Regions from separate parts of the Mus musculus genome. Here regions 2 and 3 are each reported to be linked to region 1. The links are microRNA targets in miRTarBase. Many come from high-throughput screens and were not tested one by one. Region 1 holds a microRNA gene; each other region holds the end of a gene's coding sequence.
What was found. The annotated mature microRNA mmu-miR-17-5p reads CAAAGUGCUUACAGUGCAGGUAG and lies in region 1 at 1,400-1,422, shown strand. An mRNA with a match to its seed (bases 2 to 7 or 8) in the 3' UTR can be bound and repressed. Matches are read on the target gene's strand: a 7mer-m8 pairs with bases 2 to 8, a 7mer-A1 pairs with bases 2 to 7 and ends in A, and an 8mer does both.

Region 1 (4,578 bases):
GCTGCCGGCCCGGGCTCCATGAGCGTGGCGGGTACTTGGCAGGATCCCGTGTTCCCGTCCGGTTTTCTCTTGATAAGCTGGCGCGGAGGGGAGAAAACTGGAGAGCGCAGCAGGGCTCGTGGTTCTTAGGTGACCAGAGGGAAGAAAATGAGCAACGTGCCACGAGGATCACAGCAGTTGGGGAAACAACTCTTTATCCCGGCGTGCAGCCACGAGGTCCTGATTGGGGGAGGGGTGGTGAAGACTAGTCCTGGTTGCCCTTTTTCTCTAGCTTGAGCTGGACAGTAGAGTTCAGGCTTGCTGCTACTCATCTTGCAGTATTTCAGGGGCACATTAATTCGTGCACGGATGTGAATCTTGGTGGGTTTTCAACTTTATTTTGTTACAGCGTTTTCCACCCAATACATTGTTGCCCTCAGGACCTTGTGGTCCTGGCTCTCTCTTTTTTTTTTTTTTTTTTTTTTTTTTTGGCAAATGGATAGAATTGCCCCTTAGGAAGATTAAGAGAAGAGCAACTTGGAATGGGGCTCGGAAAGTGGTAGTAATTTTGAGCAAATGTGCTTACCCTTTCTCTGTCTTCACCCCACCCCCAACCCTAGTCATACACGTGGACCTAGCAGCACCCGAAGCATTGCCCAAGGATACTTGCTGAGAAGGAAGTTTGCCTGAGTGGGTGAGTATATTCTAGTTTTGTAGCTAAAACTTCTTTTGAGACCTTTGGTTTTCACTTTTGTCTTTGAGCTTGTACAACATTCTTGGTCTTTTAAGGTATGAAATAAATACAGTTTGAACTCTTGTCATAAATGAGTGAGCCACATTTTAACGTAGTAAATCTACAGTGGCTTTTGGACACTAACCAAATAGTTGTAGACCCTTCAAGTTGGAGTCATAGAGTATTTCTAATTTGGGGTGATACTAAGACTTTTTTATGTTTTATGACTAATAAACTTGAAAATGACTAAACAATAATCATTAATCTTGTCGAGTATCTGACAATGTGGAGGACAGAAGAAAGGGATTGCTGCCTGGTCAATGTGAGGCTTTCCTCTAAAGGTAGTACCAAGTCAGACTGCCTTCCTGATAACAGGTCTCATTTTGTAGGACCCTTATTGTGTGTTTTTTGGGGAAGCCTACTGTAAAAGCCAACATTTTAATGGGATTGTATCTTATATTTCTTTAAGGAGTTTTTTTTTTTTTTTTAAGGCTTACATGTGTCCAATTTGGAACTTCTGGCTATTGGCTCCTCCCCTCCCCCCCTTGGGTATAAGCTGTAATTGATGTTTGTGACAGAATTTAGAGCTTTGGCTTTTTCCTTTTTGTCTAATTATTTATTTCAAATTTAGCAGGAATAAAGTGAACCTCACCTTGGGACTGAAGCTGTGACCAGTCAGAATAATGTCAAAGTGCTTACAGTGCAGGTAGTGATGTGTGCATCTACTGCAGTGAGGGCACTTGTAGCATTATGCTGACAGCTGCCTCGGTGGGAGCCACAGTGGGCGCTGCCTCGGGCGGCACTGGCTGCGTCCAGTCGTCGGTCAGTCGGTCGCGGGGAGGGCCTGCTGGTGCTGCGTGCTTTTTGTTCTAAGGTGCATCTAGTGCAGATAGTGAAGTAGACTAGCATCTACTGCCCTAAGTGCTCCTTCTGGCATAAGAAGTTATGTCCTCATCCAATCCAAGTCAAGCAAGCATGTAGGGGTCTCTCCATAGTTGTGTTTGCAGCCCTCTGTTAGTTTTGCATAGTTGCACTACAAGAAGAATGTAGTTGTGCAAATCTATGCAAAACTGATGGTGGCCTGCTATTTACTTCAAGTGTTGTTTTTTTTTAAACTAATTTTGTATTTTTATTGTGTCGATGTAGAGCCTGCGTGGTGTGTGTGATGTGACAGCTTCTGTAGCACTAAAGTGCTTATAGTGCAGGTAGTGTGTAGCCATCTACTGCATTACGAGCACTTAAAGTACTGCCAGCTGTAGAACTCCAGCCTCGCCTGGCCATCGCCCAGCCAACTGTCCTGTTATTGAGCACTGGTCTATGGTTAGTTTTGCAGGTTTGCATCCAGCTGTATAATATTCTGCTGTGCAAATCCATGCAAAACTGACTGTGGTGGTGAAAAGTCTGTAGAGAAGTAAGGGAAAATCAAACCCCTTTCTACACAGGTTGGGATTTGTCGCAATGCTGTGTTTCTCTGTATGGTATTGCACTTGTCCCGGCCTGTTGAGTTTGGTGGGGATTGTGACCAGAAGATGTGAAAATGACAATATTGCTGAAGATGCCGATTTCCACTGTAAAAATGTTCACGAGCTGATGGAGTGTATGAACACATTCTGTAAACTGTGATTTCTATTGCTTTCGTTGGTGTGTAAAACGGGATTTTTTTAATTGAAATTTGTGTTTTTAAATTGTGGTTTGTTTTTACTGAATCATTTCATTTTCGTGTTTGCTCGCTGGATTTAGTAAGAAGTTGTGTGTGGGGGCTTAGGTGAAGTTAAACTGCCTTTTGAACCTGGTATGACTTCAGGTTTATTTTACTCTAAAACCCATTAACATGAGTTAAGAAAAATGTTACTTTCTTTGGATCTCTGTTTATTAAAGTGTGACAATTCAGATGGAGTGTTTTCTGATAAGATTATTCCTAATCCGTGAGTTCTTAACAGTTAACAGGTGGTGGCCACTCTGTTAATGTGCACACCCTGTAAGAAAGAACTATCCTTGGACTGTTCTTACCATGTGACCCCCTCAAGGGAAAGATGGCAAACTGATGGTCAGTAGAGTGACAGGTACACATGACACTCGAGTGCTGGGTCTGGAGAAGCTGCAGTTAGTATTTAGGATAACAGTATATATAATATATAGTTCTACATTTGGGCAGCACAGTTGGTTTCAGGCTATGAATAAAAATCATTGGAGTGAAACCTAAAGAAAAGTAAAATTAATAAGGAAGAGCTGCTAAAATCAGGTTTAAGCTGACACTATCTACAGAGCTAAAGTTTTCCATAATATGTTGCTTTTTTTAAAAGAAATGCAAGAAGCTGACTGATGGATCCCTGAGCTGCCAGGTAAGGATTCCACAGGCCTGGGTTTGATTGTGAGTGACCAGAATTGTACAATTATTACTAAAACAGAAACATAGTCACTTCTGACTCCATTCTTAACATTTTTGGATTAAAACTTGTTTCAGATGACTAATGAAAACTTCCTTTAAAACGTGATAAAGCTCTAATGTCAGCACGATCCACATGATCCATGTGCCTCCTATAAAGGGAGGGGTCTGTCACCAGTGTTACGGATTGAATGCTACGTTTATCTTCCAACATAGGAAGCCTGCCAGGTACTTTCTTCAATATACTAAATTAGAAGTTTAAAATTAATAAGGTCTTAATTAGGACCTTTGGATGCTGAGCTTGTGGTAGTAATTGTGTTCAGAATGTTTTGAACTTAAATTGAGATTTAATTTTAGTAAGGAATGTGTGTCTTAGAGGCCTAGTAGTGAAGAGGAGTTTTCCTAGGATTTTCCTCTCTCCTCCCTTAATTAAGCTGCTTTCTGCACTAAGGGCTTCACGCAGCAACGCACTTGTTCAGTTCCGCACAGGGGGCTTTGCTGACTGTCTGCTCTAAAACTCTGTTGGCAAAACAGCTGTGGTCTCTCTTAGACTTTGATTTTGTAGTAACTAGGGCATATAGTTGCTATAAGCTTTCAGGAATGGGGGTGGGTTACTAATGTCTTATGTTATATGAAAGTAGTTAAATTTATCCTATATTAAGAAGGAAGCATTATTGAGACTATATACTGTTGATTTTACTAAAAACTCTAAGATGTCCATTTTAACAGGCAAACCTAGCACAGAAAACCAGCTGGATTTTCCCTGTGCATGGTTTGAAGAGTCAGTCCTACATAATTGCTGACACAATGCAACCTGCAACTGCCCGGAGAAAGAACAGTTCACTAAAATTTGTTGTATTTATCATCCAATTCTGTTCTGTAACTGGTAACACTAGTTTGTCTGGCTTTAGAGAATAGGTGAATCTCTAAAACAGTAGAAACAGCTCAGTTGGGCAAGGGCCGTTCTAGTAGCATGCCTGCTCCTTGGAGTTTTCCAGATTATTTTGTATAGCCTATTCCAGATTCTTGTCTAAGATTGCTTTGCTCTGTGCACTCAGAATTGGTGTGCCTTTCTATTTGTGTAAATGATATATAATACATTGCTAGTTGTCTAGGATCTATTCAGGAAGTGCGTGCTGTGAATTTTAAAGTATGGGAAGATTGTTAACAAGGGTTTCAATGTTTTGTTTTTTTTTTTCTGGTAAGCTAAAATAGAACATTGTGAGGTACCTGGTTTATTGTGGTTACAGACTTGGAATAATGTTCATTGTTTTGTGCTAATAAATTGTGTTAAAATTTGGTGTACATATGAGCATTTTTAAATAAAGTTATTTTGTAGCACTGATGATCTTGTATCTTGTTTTTTCCTGTAAGTGGCCCAAATATCTTTTTCTTGTTGAGGGCATGGGGAGACCAGTCTTAGCTTTAACCATGGAGTTTGTCTTTTGCCTTAATTTACAGGGAAGAGGAAATCATTGTG
Region 2 (4,247 bases), not on the chromosome of region 1:
TCTGACATGAGACCTCCTGATGAGCTAACTGAGTCTCCCCTGCAGGAATCCTAGAGTGGCCTTTCTGGACGAAGCTGGTAGTTGTGGCCATCGGCTTCACTGGAGGACTTCTCTTTATGTATGTTCAGTGCAAGGTGTACCTACAGTTATGGAAAAGACTCAAGGCTTACAATAGAGTGATCTATGTTCAGAACTGTCCAGAAACAAGTAAAAAGAATATTTTTGAAAAGTCTGCACTTACAGAGCCCACCCTTGAAAATAAAGAAGGACATGGAATGTGTCATTCCACCACAAATTCTTCTTGCACAGAGCCTGAAGACACTGGAGCAGAAATTATTAACGTCTGACCATGTGAGGGTGTCATTTCCTTGATGTCCACCAACAGCTGAAGGAATTTGTCTGCTGCCAGTTGTGTTCCTTCTTTCTGTCGTTTAATAGCATAGACTGGGCAGGTGACTATTTATAGTGGCCTCTCTTTTTCTCAACCCTCCTTGGTGTGAATGTCCTAGAATTCTTGTGGGGCAGGTACCACTGGGTTCCATTCTGCCAGGCTTCTCTGTGGTCTGGGAAGGTGGGAGACCCCATGTATCCATGACAAGGAGCTGGCTAAGTTCCAGCCCCTGGTCTTGAATAGATTATGGAAGTAAAAAGCTAAAGCAGAAGACAGAGCAGCATGGGGAGAGGAGGCGGGTGATGGAGGGTCCCCAGAGGACAGAGCAGCATGGTGCGGGAGGGCTGCTGCTGCTGGGAGGGGTCCCTCACACTAACGAGAGCTAGGAGTGGCAAGGGAGCAGTGCCTCCAGACAGCAGCCCTGCAGCCCCTGCCTTGCTCAGCTGATGCCACCACCTTGCTCGGGGGGCAGACAAGGCCTTGGGCTGTGTCTGCTGGTGTGTGACTCACTGAGAAAACAGCACTTTATGAGAGTTTTTATTTTGGAATTCCTGTGTTTAATGGGAGTGACATGTTTAAACACGTGTCACATTTAGAAATGTTCTCTTTATTGCCTGTTATCTCTTTGCATCAAAATCGAACTGAAACCATTTCTGCCTTATATATTCTGAGTAGTAGATGTCCTTCCATGTCCAGAAAAGACTTCAGACTTTAAGCAAGACAGACAGGTCTGAGACTCCATGGGAATTAATGGATGCTAAGAGTGTAATTCCTCTGGTTTTGAGCCTGTTTCCTGAAAAGTCCTATCTCACAAGCTCACCCATACATTTCTTTGTTGTGAGCGTTGAAATGAAAGGGTTTTGAGATGTAATGAATCTGAATCAGGGTGAGCATTTAAAAAACGCTCCTTTGACTGACAGATGTCTCCAGATGGAGTGGGTACACATTGGGGACACTCCTGTGATCCACCTCTGCTGTCCCCTGTGCTGACAAAGTTCTGTGGAGTCATTGCTGAGGGCTGGGAGGTCAACAGACCAGCTCTGGGATGAGGTCTTGGGTGAGCAGTCAGCTAATTGCATCGCCATTGTGTCACTGACCTGGCCTCATACCCACTTATTGCCTTAAGCAGACTTGACAGGATCACTAGGGTCCTTAGCTCCAATGTGACCTATTCTGTCTTGGGGTTACCTCCTGCGCGATATTTTCACAAGACAGACAAAATCAAATCACTACTGCTAAGTGGCCATTGCCCCTTTAAAAAGTTTGTTGAACATTTTTTTTCTTGAAGGCCATTGTCAAAGTGCCAGGCAATAGTCAACTTACAATGTGACAAGAGGAACCGCAGAAGTGTACTACTCTCCAAGTGGCTGCTGTCGGCTCCAGGGTCTTCAGATTCTCTTGAGGTGGCCAGGGCAATGCCTAGGGTCCATCTCCCTGAGCTTTGGCTGCTTCACCTGTCTTCTCCAGAGACTGAGGCAAACCGAAGATGAATCTTTTGTAGTTCCTAGTAGAAGCCCCGTGCTTAGTTTTCAGAAGCATGTGGAGGCTAGCTAGAAGGCTTGTGGAAGCAAGTTCTGTCCTGTTATCCCCTTGTCTACTCCCTGGAGTCATGGAGTTCAGTTGTGGAGCTGTTCTGCCAGGGCTTTCAGCCATTATCTAATGGGCCCACCCCTTAGGTCAGCCTGCCCTCTCTCTCCCAGACCACATAAGCCTCCCTGTGCTCACTGTGCCCCAAAGTGCAATTACTCACACTCAGTGAGGACACCAGGCAGCTACAGACTGCCCACTAAGCTCTGACTATTCCTTTTAGCAGCTGCTGCGGCGAGTCTCTGACCCTGTCCATCTGTCTGTGACAAGATGTTCCAACATTGGGTGGGCAGTCAAATGAAGATGGAGGCATTTGTAGAGAAGAAAGTGTCCCTCAATGGGGGTTGTCTCTGCACAGCTGCCCTAGGGGACTTGTACTCCCACATAGATAGGTGGCTTTGGAAGCATGGCTTCATGTTGTTCCCTTTATTTCAGGAAGGCCTGATGCTATCTCTTCTCTGGCTTCTCTGATGAACTCTGTCCTTCATCCTTCCCCCGCTCGTTTTCCCTGAAGGTTCTCTGATCTAGTAAACAACTACACATGTGACTCAGTGCAGGAGACTGGCAAGGCACGGCTGCGAAGCATCTGGCAGAGCTCTGGGTCTGCCCAGACTCTCCTAGTCCTTGCCTCTTTGGCCTCTGAGTAATTTTGCAGGGCTATCTGTCTACCCCATTGTTCCTCACTTTGAGCTTAGATATAGTGGGAAGATGGCATGTAGCTAGACCAAGCAGATCTAGGATGAGGGAGACCTCAGGCCAGGAGGGCTTGTGCTTGTGGGTCAAATGAAGAAGGAAGTCGTCTCAGGGTGTCACTGGCAGCCCTCTAACTTGGCCTTTACCCCGTATGTCATAGACCCATTCGCACAGCTTTGACTCTAGCTGCCACAAGTGAGTAGTTGAGGGTTATGCTCAAGTGTATCACAAGATTTTCCTGGAAATGTAAACATTCTCTTAGTCTAGGTCTCTCTGTCTCTCCTTTCTGGCTTCAGGACACTCTTCGTTAAGTAGGCTTAGTTTTCAAACCTGTGGGTATGTCCAAGTGGACACAGATGTGCAGGCTCAGGCGGTGGGGGATAGGACAGTTCAAGGCCTGGGGTAGTATCTAAGTGACAGAGGGGAAAGGCTGTGTGGGCAGGGTGAAGAGCTGTAATCTTGTGGGTGTGGTTAGATGCACATGTATATATTTCATTCTACCTGTTCAAATCTGGTTTGGAATAATGCAGCTTATAGCTGCAGCTCAAGGAAAGCCCAAAGCATAGGGAGAGAAAAGGCACTTGTCTCTGTGTCGGGAGTGAGTGACGAAGGCATGTAACTGGTGCACATTTAGATGCAACGTTTCAAGTTGATTGTTAATAAAAACCAAATTTACACTGGTGTGTGTAGTGTAGTTTCTAAAAAGCACTTCACATTTTAAATTTTTCTTGGAAAATTTCTAGTAATCTAAATGTCTAATTTTTTAATCTTTTTGTGTATGTTCATTGTTTCTCAGTATTACTGCTTGAATAATTCTCTGTACAGGGGATTTGTTTGTGCTATATACGGGGTGTCTAAAGTTAGCAATAAAGCCTTTCTTTACAAAGGAATTTTGTGATGAGAGTGTTTTCAAATGGGGAAGCTAGGATACCCTTTCCCGCCCACATATCAGTAAAGAATAATGAGGCCATAGGGAGAAGAGAGAGGGCCCAGAAGTAAGAGGAGTGGAAGTGGAAGGGGATTTGCGTTGATGCTAAGGTCCATGTGATAACTGTTTTAGTGTCTGGGTTACTTCACTTAATCCTTACAAACCTGCCTTAAGAGATCAAGCATCAGCCAGATGGAAGTAAGAGGAGGAGATGCAGATACTGATGCCCGTGCTAGCCTTCGGCATTGGGACAGATGAGGCGGGTGCCCTGTCATTCATTCGTGAAGGCAGCAGCAGAGACAAGGAAGCAGCCTGGATAGCCTTTGGCTGGCGAATGCATAATGAAGATGTGGTACTTATTTATAATGGGATTTTGTTCAGCTGCCAAAACATAAAATCTTCAGGTAAATGGATGGAGACACAATATTAAAGGACATGACCTGGATACAGACACGAGCTATGTGTTCTCATATATGAATCATAGCATAAATTCAGATCTTTAGATTTGTGTGTTTAATTTAGAATACCTGTATTGTCTACAAAAGCAGAAAGGGCCACTGGTATGGAGTGGGGGGCAAAGACCTTGTCAGTTGGAGGAGGTAGTAGACCAGCTTTTTTATTGTTGATCGAAAGAGAACAGTGATTTTG
Region 3 (4,247 bases), not on the chromosome of region 1:
TTTTTTTTTTTTAACTTTTTGCCTTTTCTTTACAGGGTTGGTTCTGGACATTACACAGCATATGCAGTTCACGAAGGCCGCTGGTTCCATTTCAATGACAGCACTGTGACAGTGACTGATGAGGAGACCGTTGGGAAGGCAAAGGCCTACATTCTGTTTTATGTGGAGCGTCAGGCCAGAGCTGGAGCAGAAAAACTGTAATACCTCCTGACCATGAGTCATCAACTACACCGGACAACATTTCCATTTTCCATAAATACTTGATCCAAGAGTCAAATTTCAGTATGCACTTTTCAATTTCCAGTTTGGGGTTTAGTTTGGTCAGTGGTAGTGACTTACCCAACATGAGCACCAACTAATTTTTGTTGTTGTTCTACCAGAAAACCTCAGCAGGCATTTTGATTGGCTGCTTTAGTTGTAATAATTCAATTTTTATATGTAGTTTCCAGAACTTAGTTCTGTTTGACTTTTTATATTAATGTTTTCAGTTCTCACCGAGGCACATTTGCATTTGCTCTATACTCACATGCTGAGAGCCACCCTGACTGCTGTCTTCATAGCAGCCAGGTCAGCGACTCCATCGTGAGGATCGTGTGTGCAGGTCTGTGGCCCACCGGTTTCACAGTGACTGCTCAGGAATTCCTTCCGACTGCAGACCAGGCCGTCACCACTGCTGTGTCTCAGGGTTGCTGTGCCTCAGCATTAAATAACTCTGCCAGTCCCGTTGCACCTGTGCTAGAGTTCCAGAACTGCTCCATTTCTTGTCTCTGGTCTTCTTTTAATATTTTCTTGGGGGCAGACAGGCTAGGAACACTGACAAGTGCAAATACGTGTTTAAAAGCCCTGCGATTCAGCTGCATGGTAGAGGTATGTCCTGTGGGTGGATCTGTCTGACCATCAGAGGTGAGGTCTTACCCCCCAGACCTGACTTCCAGGCAGAAGTGGAGTCATAGAAGCTCTGGGTTTTAATTCACTCCCTGCCTGAAGCAGAACCAGGTGAAAGTATATGTCTCTGAACAAGAATAGTTTTTATTAAATTCAGTAGCTTAAAAAATACTGTTCACAGAAATAGGTTAGAAGCACTATTTGGACCATTTAAAGAAGGCAGCTAGTGGCAAATGCTGGAGGCCAGTGATTCGGTTTGCAGGTATTGAAACCTTTAAGTCAGAGTGTACAACTCCAACACAGCCTGTTCCACATCCACCTCCTCGAGGGACAAAATGCACTTCATGCAGACTTTTTACTAATATTTTTTCTATTACAAGTAAGTTTGGTAGCTTTCCTTGTCCAGTGAAGTTGATGGAGACGTGGCTCAATTCCACATTAATATTAGCTACAGAAATCTTCATTCCCTCAGAACAGAAATTACATTCTGGATCAGTACCTTAATACACTAACTTGAATCCCTCAGTACAATGACCGTATGACTAGTGTGTCCTTGGTCACACTAGTTATGTCAGGGCTGGGTACAGGACAGTGCAGGGCAAGTACCTTTCCATAGGGTTCTCTTGCACAACACAGGTCTAAATTTTATGCAGAACAACAAAGCTGTGACATGTGTAAGCACTACAACTTAGATTTAGTGCAGGAAGAGGAAGTGTGCTGAGTTCCATGAGGTAGAGGCATGTGCAGCTCTAGTTCTGCTGGTTTGAGCCACAGATCGAGGGTCGAATGATTTGCTCTAATATATCAGAACTGTGATAACATCACAGCTAAGCCTAAATGAGTCTCATCTAACGTTGCACACAGCTCCCACTAATCCAGGCTCCTCTGGCATTTATATCTTTGCCTCTGACTGGGCAACTGTAATGACTTACACAGTACGCACACAGAGCTGGCACTGTCAAGCCAGGTGGAGCAGCAGCAGCAGACTGGGCCGCTCTGTGGGGAGAGTGGTCATTAGGCAACACTTTGGCATACAAGGGAATGAATCATCTCTGGAATTTTTGTAGCAGCTTTATTGCTTGGTTTTACTTAAGCAGCAATGGCTGAGTGACACCATGAAGACTCTTTGAGAAAGTGACTGCACCCATATGCAGTGCCCATCTGAACACCCATGATGAAGTACATGTGCCTATTTGTTTTAAATCTAGCCTTACTGCACCGGTTACAGGCTTCTCTCTGTACTGTCTAGGGCTTTCCCACGTGTGTTCTAACCTGCATGCAACTTTTGCTCAGAGCGTATGCTGAGGCAGGGCCTCATGCATATCCTGTCCTGTCAGCCCATGGCAACAGGAAACTCCAAGTCCTCCCACACAGGTGGGGATAGAAACAGTTTGTGGCAACACAAGTCTCTCCATGGTGGAGAACTCTAAGCTTATCCACTGTATTCTACTCAGTGTGTAGTGGCAGATGATGTAATTAAACCAGTCATATGCGCTGGCCCTGGTTGAGTGTCGTGTGTCACACCTGTGGTACCTGCTCAGATTTATTTCACTTCTTTGGTTTACTTTATATGTTTAACCCATTGTAACCTCTACCGTCCCCTAAACTCTCTCATGGTCCTCCAACTGCTGAAGTCACCTCTTGCCCAGGCTTTGGAAAGGCTCAGGTAGGAACTGTTTCCAGAGCATGGGTCTTCTGACAGCCCCGAGAAGATGCCACAGCACAGGAAAGAGGAGGCACATGTGTGTGTGACTGTCACCACTGGGCAGTAGCCCTCAAGGGAGTGGTGGCCATGCCAAGATCATTGGCCATTAAGACTTAGTAGTCTGTATGATGCCAAGATGTCATTGTGCACGTTACCATTCATTCTGGCTGCAGACGAATCACATCCTAGTCCCGCCTCACCAGCTGGGCTCTTCTGTGGATTGTTTCCAGGCAGAGCAAGCCGGGCAGTGGTGGCGCTCGCCTTTAGTTCCAGCACTCAGGAGGCAGAGGCAGGCGGATTTCTGAGTTCGAGGCCAGCCTGGTCTACAAAGTGAGTTCCAGGACAGCCAGGGATATACAGAGAAACCCTGTCTCAAAAAGCCAAAAAAAAAAAAAAAAAAAAAAAAGAGGAGGAGGAGAGGAAGGAAGAAGAAATGGCAGAGCAACAGCCATCAGGGGCCAGTCTTGTAGCCTACATGGGCAGGAGGAAAGGGGAGTAGTCATTAAGGGGTTCTGTGGAGTTCTTTCAGGGGAAGCTGTAGTAGTCTTAGGTTTCCACCAAGTTGTATGCACTTAGAGCAGCTTCATACTTCCAGATCTGCAGCACAGCTTCCTAAAAAGCAGGGCAGCTGGGGGCTGTGTGCAAGCATTGAAACCCATCAGACTTGCAGTTCACTTCCAGTTATTTACACTTCAATTAAGTGTTCAAAAATAGAAACTGCCCACCCTCACATATTGGGGAATGCTATCTAGGACAGATAATGAAACTCTGCAAATCACCCACGAAAAAGAACACATGCACCAGTCTGTCTGTCTCACACACACGTGCTAGCTTTTAAAATAACATTTCAGATGAATCTTATGACAGTTTAGGGTAAAAATGGAGCCATTTGGGCCTTGCCATTGGGGTTTAAAGATAGCTCATCTTTGCAAGGTAGCCATTAGTGTCCTGAGCTAAAGTACCAAGCATGATCCTCAGATTCCACTCACAGTTTGGGGCATGGTAAAAATGACCTCTTCCTAGCAAGGGTGAGCAGAGGAGCCGCACCGACACACTCTGATACCTAACAGCTAATACTCACTGTCCTGCTAGGAGAAAGGCTGCAAGCCCAGGAAGGGCTGTTGTCGCTAATTACCTCCAATGAAAACACCTTAGTAAAAGCCAAGAGCCCTGTGCTCAACACTTATCAGCTCAGAGGAAAAGAAATCCCTTTTAAGGAAAACTTGTAACTTCAATGGGCTGCTCTTCTGCCAGGACTTTCAGGCCCTCTGAACATAAGCCGAACCACAGATGGCTTCGAGTAAGTCTGGATCCTGACACCCGCCCTCCCCACCCCGAGCTTCAGCACCAGTTGTTGGCCAAAAATAAACACCATTCCTCAACCATATATGTCCACCAGTCCTGATCTGGGGAGGAAGCAGGAGGCAGGTCAGACCCTTTCTGGGCATTCACGTGCGGCCACCACTCACCATGCACATAACCCAGCTCAATCGGGAGTGTCTGCTGTGTCTCTTCTCCTTCCTGGACAAGGACAGCCGGAGGAGCCTCTCCAGGACTTGCTCCCAGCTCCGAGATGTGTTTGAGGACCCCACCCTCTGGCCCCTGCTGCACTTCCATTCTCTCGCAGAGCTCAAGAAAGACAACTTCCGGCTGAGCC

Region 2: miRTarBase lists Marchf8 as a target of mmu-miR-17-5p. Seed matches in the 3' UTR shown: 8mer at 912-919.
Region 3: miRTarBase lists Usp3 as a target of mmu-miR-17-5p. Seed matches in the 3' UTR shown: 7mer-m8 at 287-293.

What each region holds. Positions count from the first base shown.
Region 1 is chr14:115,042,285-115,046,862 of GRCm38, forward strand. It overlaps Mir17 (microRNA 17), which reads left to right and starts at 1,387; the gene lies at 1,387-1,470. It overlaps Mir18 (microRNA 18), which reads left to right and starts at 1,567; the gene lies at 1,567-1,662. Mir19a (microRNA 19a) reads left to right here and starts at 1,716; the gene lies at 1,716-1,797. Mir20a (microRNA 20a) reads left to right here and starts at 1,873; the gene lies at 1,873-1,979. It also overlaps Mir19b-1, Mir17hg and Mir92-1.
Region 2 is chr6:116,405,980-116,410,226 of GRCm38, forward strand. Marchf8 (membrane associated ring-CH-type finger 8) reads left to right here. Exons shown (of 8, transcript NM_001302383.1): 8 at 46-3,561. The coding sequence ends at 347. Alox5 (arachidonate 5-lipoxygenase) reads right to left here. Exons shown (of 14, transcript NM_009662.2): 14 at 4,092-4,247. Among named protein-coding and RNA genes, the nearest start is that of Gm38880, 5.1 kb to the right of the region's middle.
Region 3 is chr9:66,514,367-66,518,613 of GRCm38, reverse strand. It overlaps Usp3 (ubiquitin specific peptidase 3), which reads left to right. Exons shown (of 15, transcript NM_144937.4): 15 at 36-3,975. The coding sequence ends at 201. It overlaps Fbxl22 (F-box and leucine-rich repeat protein 22), which reads left to right and starts at 4,021. Exons shown (of 2, transcript NM_175206.4): 1 at 4,021-4,247. The coding sequence starts at 4,061.